Oryctolagus cuniculus: one gene and its partners. The protein of the gene in region 1 interacts with the protein of each later gene in a pairwise test. Links are inferred from orthologs where the notes say so. Each region holds a gene or a part of one and is shown in the gene's direction. Other genes may lie near its edges.

Evidence for each region.
Region 2: the proteins of TRIM69 (region 1) and SF3A3 interact in binary tests that used the Homo sapiens proteins (3 or more experiments, as listed by UniProt). The two-hybrid records come from large-scale screens. The link is inferred for Oryctolagus cuniculus from reciprocal best matches to the Homo sapiens genes TRIM69 and SF3A3.
Region 3: the proteins of TRIM69 (region 1) and FAM110A interact in binary tests that used the Homo sapiens proteins (3 or more experiments, as listed by UniProt). The two-hybrid records come from large-scale screens. The link is inferred for Oryctolagus cuniculus from reciprocal best matches to the Homo sapiens genes TRIM69 and FAM110A.

The regions. Positions count from the first base shown.
Region 1 is NC_091443.1:67,645,998-67,649,515, forward strand, and holds part of TRIM69 (E3 ubiquitin-protein ligase TRIM69), read left to right. Parts: intron 1-1,727; coding exon 1,728-2,204; intron 2,205-3,518.
Region 2 is NC_091438.1:134,823,335-134,826,852, forward strand, and holds part of SF3A3 (splicing factor 3A subunit 3), read left to right. Parts: intron 1-207; coding exon 208-290; intron 291-936; coding exon 937-1,075; intron 1,076-1,693; coding exon 1,694-1,762; intron 1,763-3,046; coding exon 3,047-3,114; intron 3,115-3,277; coding exon 3,278-3,385; intron 3,386-3,518. UniProt on the Homo sapiens protein: Component of the 17S U2 SnRNP complex of the spliceosome, a large ribonucleoprotein complex that removes introns from transcribed pre-mRNAs.
Region 3 is NC_091442.1:26,842,999-26,846,734, forward strand, and holds the end of FAM110A (protein FAM110A), read left to right. Parts: intron 1-1,660; 5' UTR 1,661-1,771; coding exon 1,772-2,659; 3' UTR 2,660-3,226; downstream 3,227-3,736.

The DNA.
Region 1 (3,518 bases):
CTAGGCTCCCTGGTTGATTGGATGGTTCCCACTTATATTCAGGACTAATCTGCCCCACTCAGTTCACTGACCTACCGCCAATCTTCTCTGGAAACCCCTTTATGGATATGCTGAGGATGATTTACAAATTCTCAAGGCATCCTTCAACTCAGTCAAGTTGATATCAAAAATCAACCATCACAATGTGTTATCTTCATTTTTAAGTTTATCCATCACTTCCTTCTTCCCTTTCTTCTAGTGTACACTTTTGACCCCCTTCTCTTTTCATTTTCTTTATATTTAGGGGTTTTTCCCTTAGTGATTACCCAGGAGGTGACAGTTAATATGCTAACTTTATAATAATCCAGTGTTATTAATACTTGGTTTCAGTAATATAAAACAGAAAATTTTAGTAGAAAAATTCTGCTCTTTTTTCAGCTCCATATCCTCCTTTATATTGCTGTTGAATAAATTATATTTTTATACACTGTATCCGTTAACACAGATGTATAATCATAGTTTTATCCATTGTCTATTAAATCATATGGGGAAAAAGATGAGTTAGAAACCATCAACTGCAACATTACTAGCTGTTATATTTACTTATGTAGTTACTTTTATTGTATTTAAATGGTTTTGAATTATTTAGTGTCCTTTCACTTTAATATAAAAGATTCCCTATAATAGTTTATGTAGAGCAGGCATATTAGCTATTTCTTATAAGGTAGATATACCAGGAAAATCTTTAGTTTGTGTTTATCTGGGAATGTCTCAATTCATCCTTCATTTTTGACAAATATTTTTTATGGATATAGAATTCTTGATTGATAGTTTGTCTTTTTTTTTTTTTCCTTTCAACATTTCAAATATCTCGCTACTTTCTGGTCTCTATGTCTTCTGAAGAGAAGTCAGCTGTTGATCTTACGGAGGATCTTTTACATATGATAAGTCACTTCTCTCTTGCTGCTTTCAAGATGCCCTTTTATTTATGAAATTTATTTATTTATTTGAAAGGCAGATGGACAGATATATAAATATATATGATGGGACAGAGAAAAAGAGAGAATGTTAACAGTTTATCTGTTCTGGTTCTCACAGAACTGGATAAGCCAACTAGTTTCTATCTTTGACAACATTAGTGGAGGAATACAGGCTACGATATCTCCAAAATCACCTGCTCCCAACCCCGACATAGATGGTGTGGGCCCCATCCGAGATCAGTTTTCCTGCCCCTCCAACCTCACAGTTATGCACCATTGCCAGACCCTCTCTGCCAGTCCACAAGCAGCACATACGTGTTTTTAAATAAGGACTGGAGTGGAGAAAGGCCTGGATGGTTGATGATATCATGCCAATGGCTGAGGAAACTGACTGATATTCCAATGCTTTGTAAATGATTTCTAGAAAATCAAAACAAGGCTAATAACTACTAGACCTGCAGCTGAAAGTAAAACTTTCTACTGACACATATAGAAAGTAGGTGGTGAGAGGGATGTAAACAATACATATTTCTTTGGTTGAGCAGTCTTTTTTCTTGGGCCTTGACTCCCTATTAAAGTTTAAACAGTATCATAAGCTATTATGTTAGAAAAACACTGAATTTATTGGATCAGTTTCAAAGGTGAGATTTTGTACTTTTATTCTAGTTCTGTCAATTCTCAGTTCTTTTAGGAACAGAGGCCACCGTCCTAGAGTGCTGAAATGGACAATGAGGAAGAGAAACTCATTTAAGCTATTCTTTTCCAAAGGTATCCTCCAGACCCTCCTCCAACACAGATCCAGGCAACTATGTTGAAGTGAATGATTCAATCACCCACATGCCGTCCAAAGGGGTGATACAAGATATTACTATGGAGCTACACTGCCCACTGTGTGACGACTGGTTCCGTGACCCACTAATGCTAAGCTGTGGTCACAACTTCTGCCAGGCCTGTATCCAAAACTTTTGGAAGCTGAAAGCTAAGGAAACATTCTGTCCTGAGTGTCAAATGTTATGTCAATACAGCAACTGTACGTTCAATCTTGTACTAGAGAAGCTGGTGGAGAAGATTAAGAAGCTACCCCTACTCAAGGGCCCCCCACAGTGCCCAGAGCATGGAGAGAACCTGAAGCTGTTCAGTAAGCCAGACGGGAAACTGATCTGCTTTCAATGCAAGGATGCCCGTTTGTCTGTGGGGCAATCTAAGGAGCTCCTGCAAATCTCCGATGCTGTCCGTTTCTTCATGGTGGGTGAGCCCAGGCTTCACACAACCCCTTAGGAAAGCTAGGGAAAATCTTTTGTAGCCTCTTCTGTCTTCTAAGTTCACTTTATTCCAATGATGATAAAGAGAAGCTCAGAGTGCTCAGGAAATACAATGCAGCTGGCAGAGTTCTTTCTCTACAGTTGCTGCTTACAGGAATGGGACAGTGGAACTCTCCCCCTTCAGTCAAATATTTGCTTAGACTCTGCCATGACAGCACTCTACCAAACATTGCAGAATAATGATGCTCTCATTAGAAAGGTTTTCAAGTCTATTCAAGTTTAAAGTGATTAAAATAATGGAAGAAATATCAAATAGTCTACTATGGGGAGTTAAATTTTGTTATGTTTGTAATTCATAAGTGTTTAGAATTTCTGTGATCAGAGAAAGCTGGATAGGGTATGCATAATGAAAGAAAAAGGATAGGGCTTGAACTGGAATTTGAACGAGTAGGAGGAAGAAACAAGTATTCCAATTGAGGACAACATAAGTAAAAGTATAGATGAGAACAGTATAACTAGAGTGGAAAATGTATTGAGTTCCATTATCTTTTTCAAACCCCTATAGTTAACTATTAGAGCAAAACTAAATTTTTCTGCTTGTAATTTTCTTCATAGTCCTTGAAAAATATGGGAGCTATGATACAGGGGAAAGGGGAAAACCTTTTTTTTTTTTTTAATTTAAAACTTATAGGAGCTGTCGCTGTGGCATAGCAGGTAAAGCTGCTGCCTGCAGCACTGGCATCTCAAATGGGTGCCAATTCAAATCCTGGTTGCTCCACTTCCTATCCAGCTCCCTGCTAATGTGTCTGGGAAAGCAGCAGAGGATGCTCCAGGTCCTTGGGCTCCTGTACCCACATGGGAGACTTGGTGGAAGGTCTTGGCTCCTGGCTTCAGCCTGGCCTAGCCCTGGTCATTGCAGCCATTTGGGGAGTAAACCAGCAGATGGAAGACCTCTCTCTCTCTCTCTTTCTCCCTCTCTCTCTCTCTGTAACTGTCTTTCAAATAAATAAAATATAAAAAAAAGAATTTTATTTGAAAGGCAGAGCAAGAGAATGAGAGCGAGAGCTAGAGAGAGAGAGAGAGAGAGAGAGAGAGAGAGAGAAATCTTGCATGCACTGGTTCACTCCCCCGATGACCACAACAGCCAGAGCTGGGTCAGGACCAAGTTAGGAGCCTGGAACTTTATCTGGGTCTCCCAGTTGGGTGGTAGGGACTCAAGTACTTGGGATATTTTCTGTTACTTTCTAGGCACATTAGTATGGACTGGATTGGAAGCTGAACAGCCAGAACTCAAAGT
Region 2 (3,518 bases), on another chromosome or scaffold:
GGTGTGTCTGCTGGCCTTCCACTGAGTCCAGTGGAAATATCTCTAATATTGGGGACTGATCCATGGTGGAGGTAGGGGGGAGACTAAAATAGCCAACTCTTGTTACTTTCTTAGAAAGTACTCAATTTTGATCTCACTTACTGAAGATTACATCAGTTTGATGCAAATACTTAATTGAATCTCTTTCCATTTTCCCCCTCTTTGCAGAAGCTGGATTATATCACATACCTGTCTATTTTTGACCAGTTATTTGACATTCCTAAAGAAAGGAAGAATGCGGAGTATAAGAGGTAAGCGTTAGTAGCTGCCAGGGCTCTACTTGATTGTATTAGAAGATACTGTGAAGGTTCAAGGGAAGCGTTCTGAATTCTGCTGGAAAGGCAAACGTGAATGGTTTCCAGATTTATTGCAGGTTAGGGTTGTAAATGATACAGTTTTAAAGAATTTGTGGTACACTGACTTTGGGCAAGCATGTGTCTGTGGGCACATCCGATTTCACGCCCGTACTGTTGTTGATTTTGTCTTATTGTAGAAGGAAGTCTCTCACTCAGAAACTTCGGTTTTTGGAGTTTAGAGAAGAAAAATTTCTCAGATTGTGGCTTAAGTGAGGGGCCTGGGTCTGCTGTATAAATGAAAAGTTACATTTATGCTAATTATGCCACCGCTTAGTGAGCCTGCATCCTTAGCTCCCTGTGTTTTTCTTTTTACCTGCAATCTTTTCTGTAAGAGTTAATTAAGACTTTAGTGCTTGACATTATGTCACAAGGATGAAAGCAGGTAGGAAAAATCAATCAAAATGATACGGTGGGGGAACGTCAATTGTAAACTTAAAAATGAGTTATTACTTTAGTAACTAGCACTATTAGAATTGTAAGTATACTACAGAGAGCATAGCGATGTATTGAAAACAGAACTGTTTGCTGTCTGTGGTGTCAGATATCTGGAGATGCTGCTTGAGTACCTTCAGGATTACACAGATCGCGTGAAGCCCCTCCAAGATCAGAATGAACTCTTTGGAAAGATTCAGACTGAGTTTGAGAAGAAGTGGGAGAATGGTACCTTTCCTGGTTGGCCGGTGAGCTCCAGTGGGGTTTGGGTTTATTTTCCTTTAATCTTGAGTGTCTGCTTAGGGCAGGAGTGGGGAAAATCCAGCCCATGGGCTGTATGAGGCCCACAAAATCATTTGATCTGGCCCTGCCAAGGCAGCAGCGGGTGGAACTTGAAGTTCTATAACAGGCTAATTTTTAAGTTGATGATTTTGGATGGCTTGAGAATGATGTTATAAATATCCAGATGGCTCTTGGCAGAAAAAGTATTCCCTACCTCCACCCAGGGCATTAGGATGTTGTTGGTATCAGTTGTGGCCGTGAGGCGTTGTTCCTACCAGGTGTGCTCGGTTTGCTCTGTGTACGTTGGAACAAGGTTTGTCAGGGCCCATTTGCCGTTGACTGAGCCCTGCTGACCAAAGTTCATTTAAATTATGTGATGATGATCGGTGTTTTCACTCCTGGGGATGTTGCCTGATCCATCAGGGAGAAAATGTACCTTCTGTTTTTTTCTGTGCTCGTGTAAAAACTCGCTCCTTATTTATAAATGTGTATAAAAAAGGGACCCACCAACACCTTTTAATGTAAACAGCTCCCTTACTCTGGTCCTAAACCTGGATTTTCACAAACATCATTGTTCTTGCCAGAAAGAGACAAGCAGCGCACTGACCCATGCTGGGGCCCATCTTGACCTGTCTGCATTCTCCTCCTGGGAGGTAGGTTTTTGTCAGCAGCATCTCTGATCTGTCCATCTTTGAAAACAGCCACACACTCTCCTGCTTTAATGCCATGGACGCGTTATCTTAGGGCACCATTTTCTGGGACCAGGTGTTAACAGAGAATGTGGAAAGAGAAAAATAAATTCACAGCTTTGAAAGTAATTTTTTTTCTCCCCAGAAACCTTTATTTAGGGAATATAAACCTCATGCATTTCCTAAGTACAACTTTAGGAACGTAGTGATTCTTCCCAGAATACTCACCCTCCCATCCACACACCCACCCCACTTCCTTCTCACTCTCCTATTCCCATTCTTATTTTCCACTAAGATCTATTTTCAGTTAACTTTATACACGTACGATTAACTCTTAGTATAGAGTTTAATGAATAGTATGAAAAAAATGTTCCTCAGCAGTTGAGACAAGGGCTGTTCAAAGTCATTGTATCTCAAGGTGTCAATTTCACTTCTATAGATTACCTTTTAGGTGCTCTGTTAGTTATCAGGGAGCACATACAGTATTTGTCCTATTGGACTGGCTTATTTCACTAAGTATGATGTATTCTAGTTTCATCCATTTTGTTGCAAACAAGATTCCCTTTTTTTTTTTAACCACTGTGTAGTACTCCAAGGTGTACATATCCCATAATTTCTTTATCCATTCTTCAGTTGATGGACATTTGGGTTGATTTCACATCTTAGCTATCGTGAATTATGCTGCAATCTTTTTTTTTTTTTTTTTTAATTTTAAGATTTACTTATTTACTTGAAGTTATGGTGAGGGAGGGAGAGACAGAGAACTCATCCATGTGCTGGTTCACTTCCCAAATGATCACAACAGCTGGGTCTGGGCCAGGCTGAAGCCAGGAGATTTTTCTGGGTCTCCCACATGGGCCCAGGCACTTGGGGGATCTTCCGCTGCTTTCCCAGGCACATTAGCAGGGAGCTGGATTGGAAGTGGTGCAGCCAGGACTTGAATCAGCACCCATATGGGATGACAGCATTGCAGGCGGTGGCTTAACCTGCTACACCACAGTGCCAGCCCCAAAAAGGACTAATTCTAACTACATTAGGTTGTGGTGGAAGGAATGGAACACTACCAGATGGTTCTGTCTGGACATGACCACAGAGTCAGTCTTGTGGAGGCTTTGCACTTCCTCAAGGAGATTGACTCTGGGCTGCGTGGCCCTGCCAACTTCAGGAGCACCCACACACCAGCTTTCGTTTGTTGTTGCCCAAAATCTAGTTCTGTGTTACTGGAACCTGTCTCTCTCATTTATGCAGGAGCTGGCCTCCTTGGGTCTGGACAGACTGAAATCTGCCCTCTTAGCTTTAGGCCTGAAATGTGGTGGGTAAGAGAATGACTTTTCTATCGAAACTCCTACTTAGTGTGCACATGTTTACGTGATTTTCTAAGTATTTTTTGTATATTTTCCCATCATCACTTACTGTAAAAACAAGCAAGCATGTATGGTATGAAGTAACCCTGTAATACTTTGTTCCTCCTGTCTCTAGAACTCTCGAAGAGCGAGCCCAGAGGCTGTTTAGCACCAAAGGAAAGTCCCTGGAGTCCCTTGACACCTCTCTCTTCGCCAAAAATCCCAAGTCAAAGGGCACCAAGCGGTGAGTGGCTAAATGGCGCCTTTGCGTGTGAATTTTTTTTTTTTATTATTTATTTATTTTTTATTTTTTTGACAGGCAGAGTGGACAGTGAGAGAGAGAGAGACAGAGAGAAAGGTCTTCCTTTGCTGTTGGT
Region 3 (3,736 bases), on another chromosome or scaffold:
AGAGAAAGGTCTTCCTTCTGTTGGTTCACCCCCCAAATGGCTGCTACAGCTCCTCTGAAGCCAGGAGCCAGGTGCTTCCTCCTGGTCTCCCATGCGGGTGCAGGGCCCAAGCACTTGGGCCATCCTCCACTGCCTTCCCGTCCACAGCAGAGAGCTGGACTGGAAGAGGAGCAACTGGGACAGAACTGGTGCCCCAACCAGGACTAGAACCTGGAGTGCTGGCGCCGCAGGTGGAAGATTAGCCTAGTGAGCTGCAGCACCGGCCAGTCCCCAAGATTAAGTGCCCTCCATTTATAGATGAGAAGGTTCAGGACCTGTTGTGTGAGTTTTCTTTCTTTCTTTAAAAAAAAAAAAAAAAAAAAGATTTATTTATTTGAAAGGCAGAGCGAGAGAGAGAGTGAGACTGAGACCTTCCACCCACTGGCCTACTCCCCAGATGCCTACAACAACCAGGTCTGGGGCCAGGCCATGGCCAGGAGCCAGGACCTGGTCTCCCATGTGGGTGGTGGGGGCCCAAGTACTTGGGCCATCTTCTGCTGTCTTTCCAGGTGCATTAGCAGGAAGCTGGATTGGGATCAGAGCAGCCAATACTCAAACTGGTAGTTCCAATATGAAATGCTGGTGTCGTGAGCAGCAGCTTAACCCGCTGCACCATAACACCAGCACCCTGTATGGGTTTTCTTTTGCCCCATCTCCAGGGGGCCTGGCTAGCAGGGGGTGAGGAGGTGGGTGGGGAGTGCTTTGGGCCCCAGGCCTACCTTGGAAACAGGGAGAGGTTTGGCTTGATGTCTGGGGCTTTGGGCCCTGTCCCTTGGGCAGCCATGAGGACACGGGGGCTCCCAGGCACGGCCCCCCCCCCCCCCCCCCGCCTGTGAGTGCCTGTCCCATGGCTGCGGGCCGGTGGAGAGTCTGCTGGTGCCTCTGTGCAGGGCTGTGTGATCTGGGGCACTTCCGGCTTCTCTTGCAGCAGCGTAGCTCGGGGCTGACGTTTCTACCTGACAGGCCTGGCACGGGAGTGCCGGACTGGAAGGTTGTCTGGACTCCACTGGGCAGGGGTGGGGATTTTCTACGCGCAGGTTTGCTACATGCTGTGCTCCTGTGCCTGGGGCCTGGCGTGCCCGGGCAGGATGATGGCACACAGCAGCTTCCTGCCTGGGTGGCGGAGGGCTGGAGGTGGAAACGGGCTCCCTGTGGGCAGTCCAGGTGGGGTGTGGGGCTGGAGCCCTTTCTCTTCGTCCCTTAACTTCAACACCACCAATTTTTGGGTTAGCTGAAGCAAACTGGTGGCTTCCCGGGGTTCAGTTTCCCCAGCTGCAAAGTGGAGCTGTTGAGAGGACACTGAGGCCGAGCTGGCTGGAGCCCGTGCAGTCTGGGGCCCGCACGCTCGCTTTACAGCACGCCCTCCCCAGCCTTTCCCCCACACCTTTTCTCCCTCTGCCTCTGCTGTGCCTGGTCCTCCCTATCCAAACCCACTTCGCAGGAGGGAGGGGGTGTGGGTGGGGCCACAGGCCCTTGAGCGTTGACTTTGCCTGCCGATTGGCTCTCTATGAATAGAGGGCGTGGCTTTCACCTTATAATAGGGAAGGCGTCTTTGCCTGGCTCAGCTTGGCCGAGCCTTTGTCTGAGCGAGCTCAGCCCCTTTTTCTTTCCTTCACCGCAGCCGTTGCGGGCGTCCAGATGCCGTTTTGGGCTGCCAGCTGCCGGCTTTCTACCTGAATCTGTCTCCTTGCTCTGATCTCCATACACCCACGCCTCGGGGTATGTAACAGCCATGCCTGTGGACACGCTGACCCCTGGAGCCCCAGCCGCCCCAGCCCTGCCTTTCCGCCTGCGGACTAAGGTCCCCGGTTACCTGCTTCGGAGGCCAGCAGACGGTGGAGCCCGGAAACCCAGTGCTGTGGAGCGCCTGGAGGCCGACAAGGCTAAGTACGTGAAGAGCCTGCATGTGGCCAACACCCGCCAAGAGCCCGTGCAGCCCCTGCTGTCCAAACAGCCCCTCTTCAGCCCCGGGACTCGCCGCACAGTGCTCACGCCCAGCCGCCGGGCCCTGCCTGGCCCTGGCCGCCGACCCCAGCTGGACCTGGACATCCTTAGCAGCCTCATCAACTTGTGTGATAGTCCCGTGTCCCCTGTCGAGGCCAGCTGCGCCCCTGCACAGGCGGAAGGCGTCCGCCAGGCTCCCCCAGCCACGCCTCCACGCCCGCCCCCCACGACGGCTGCGGTCCGCAGAGTGGACGTCCGCCCGCTGCCTGCATCTCCGGCCCAGCCTTGCCCGTCGCCCAGCTCAGCCACCGCCTCCAGCCCAGCCCGGCCGCCGGGCCTGCAGCGCTCCAAGTCGGACTTGAGCGAGCGCTTCTCCAGGGCGGCCGCCGACCTCGAGCGCTTTTTTAACTTCTGCGGCCTGGACCCTGAGGAGGCACGGGGGTTGGGCGTGGCCCACCTGGCACGGGCAAGCTCGGACATTGTGTCCCTGGCCGGGCCCAGTGCTGGGCCGGGCAGCTCCGAGGGCGGCTGCTCCCCGCGCAGCTCCGCCACGGTGGAGGAGCGTGCCCGGGAGCGCGTGCCCTACGGCGTGTCGGTGGTGGAGCGCAACGCCCGCGTCATCAAGTGGCTCTATGGCTTGCGGCAAGCCTGGGAGACCCCAGCGGCGGAGGGCTAGGCCTCTGCTGCGCTGGGAATTCACCGCAGGACACGTCTTGGAGGGGCCCTTGGCCCTTGACCTCTTGCATCCACTCCCTAGCTATGGGAGATCGGACACCTCCTGGGGGAACTTGGTTTGGAGGCCAAGGCTGAGAGGCTGGACCAGCAGCTTCTGGCTAGGACTGAGCCTGGAGAGGGTTGCTCTTGGCTTTGGGCCCCTCTCCCCCAAGTTCATGGCCTTTGACACCAATGTATCCTCTCTGGTGGGGCTGGATGTGGGGTGCTCAGCCCTCCCCACTGAGGGTTAGCGGCCCGGGGATCTGGCTGAGCCTGTCTGCCCAGTGACCATTTCCTCCTTCCTTCCTGGGCCTCTGACCCTTGCCGACTTCCTCTTCCTTACCCAGAGGGCCCCCGCTCCCTGGCAACTCACCCTGGGGTGGGGGCAGGGACCCGGGGCCTGCCCACTGCTCTTCCTGGTCTTTGGCTGTCGGCCTAGGTGGATAGACTACAAGAAGGACTGGTTAGAAGCCTGCACTGCTCTGATTTCCCTCCCCCTGGTTAATAAACACACGTGCTTGTTTCCCAAGGGCTTTCTGTGTTTACCAGGGGAAGGGTGGGAGAACCGTGGGGTGCAAACTTCACGTCTTCGCCATTGTTCACCCTGGGGTCCTGTGGGGGCACGTGTGCACCTGGCCCTGCGGGTGTCCTCATCACTCCTCCCTCTGGGAGGCTGGCAGGTGTCCTGCATGGAGGAGGAGACTGTGCAGCCCAGCCACAGGGGGGAGTCAGCACAGAGCTGGGAACAGTGCTGGGAAGGGGATCTGCAGGGGATGGGCCGGGGGGGGGGGTGCCTGGACCCTCCCCTGCACCCCGCCCAGGTCCCAGGGAGGCAGGAAGCCTGGGGAGGGCTGACGAGGAACTTATCACACAGACGGTAAAGGGAAGAAGAGGACTGGGGGTGGGCAGTGCAGAGTGAGTGGCCTTGCCTTGAACTCTGGGGGATCCTGGGCCAGCCAGTCTCCTCCCTGGGCCTCGTGGGAGGGTGGGACAGTTAGGGTCGCCCGGTCCTCCCTCCTGGGTATTCCGGGCCCTTCAT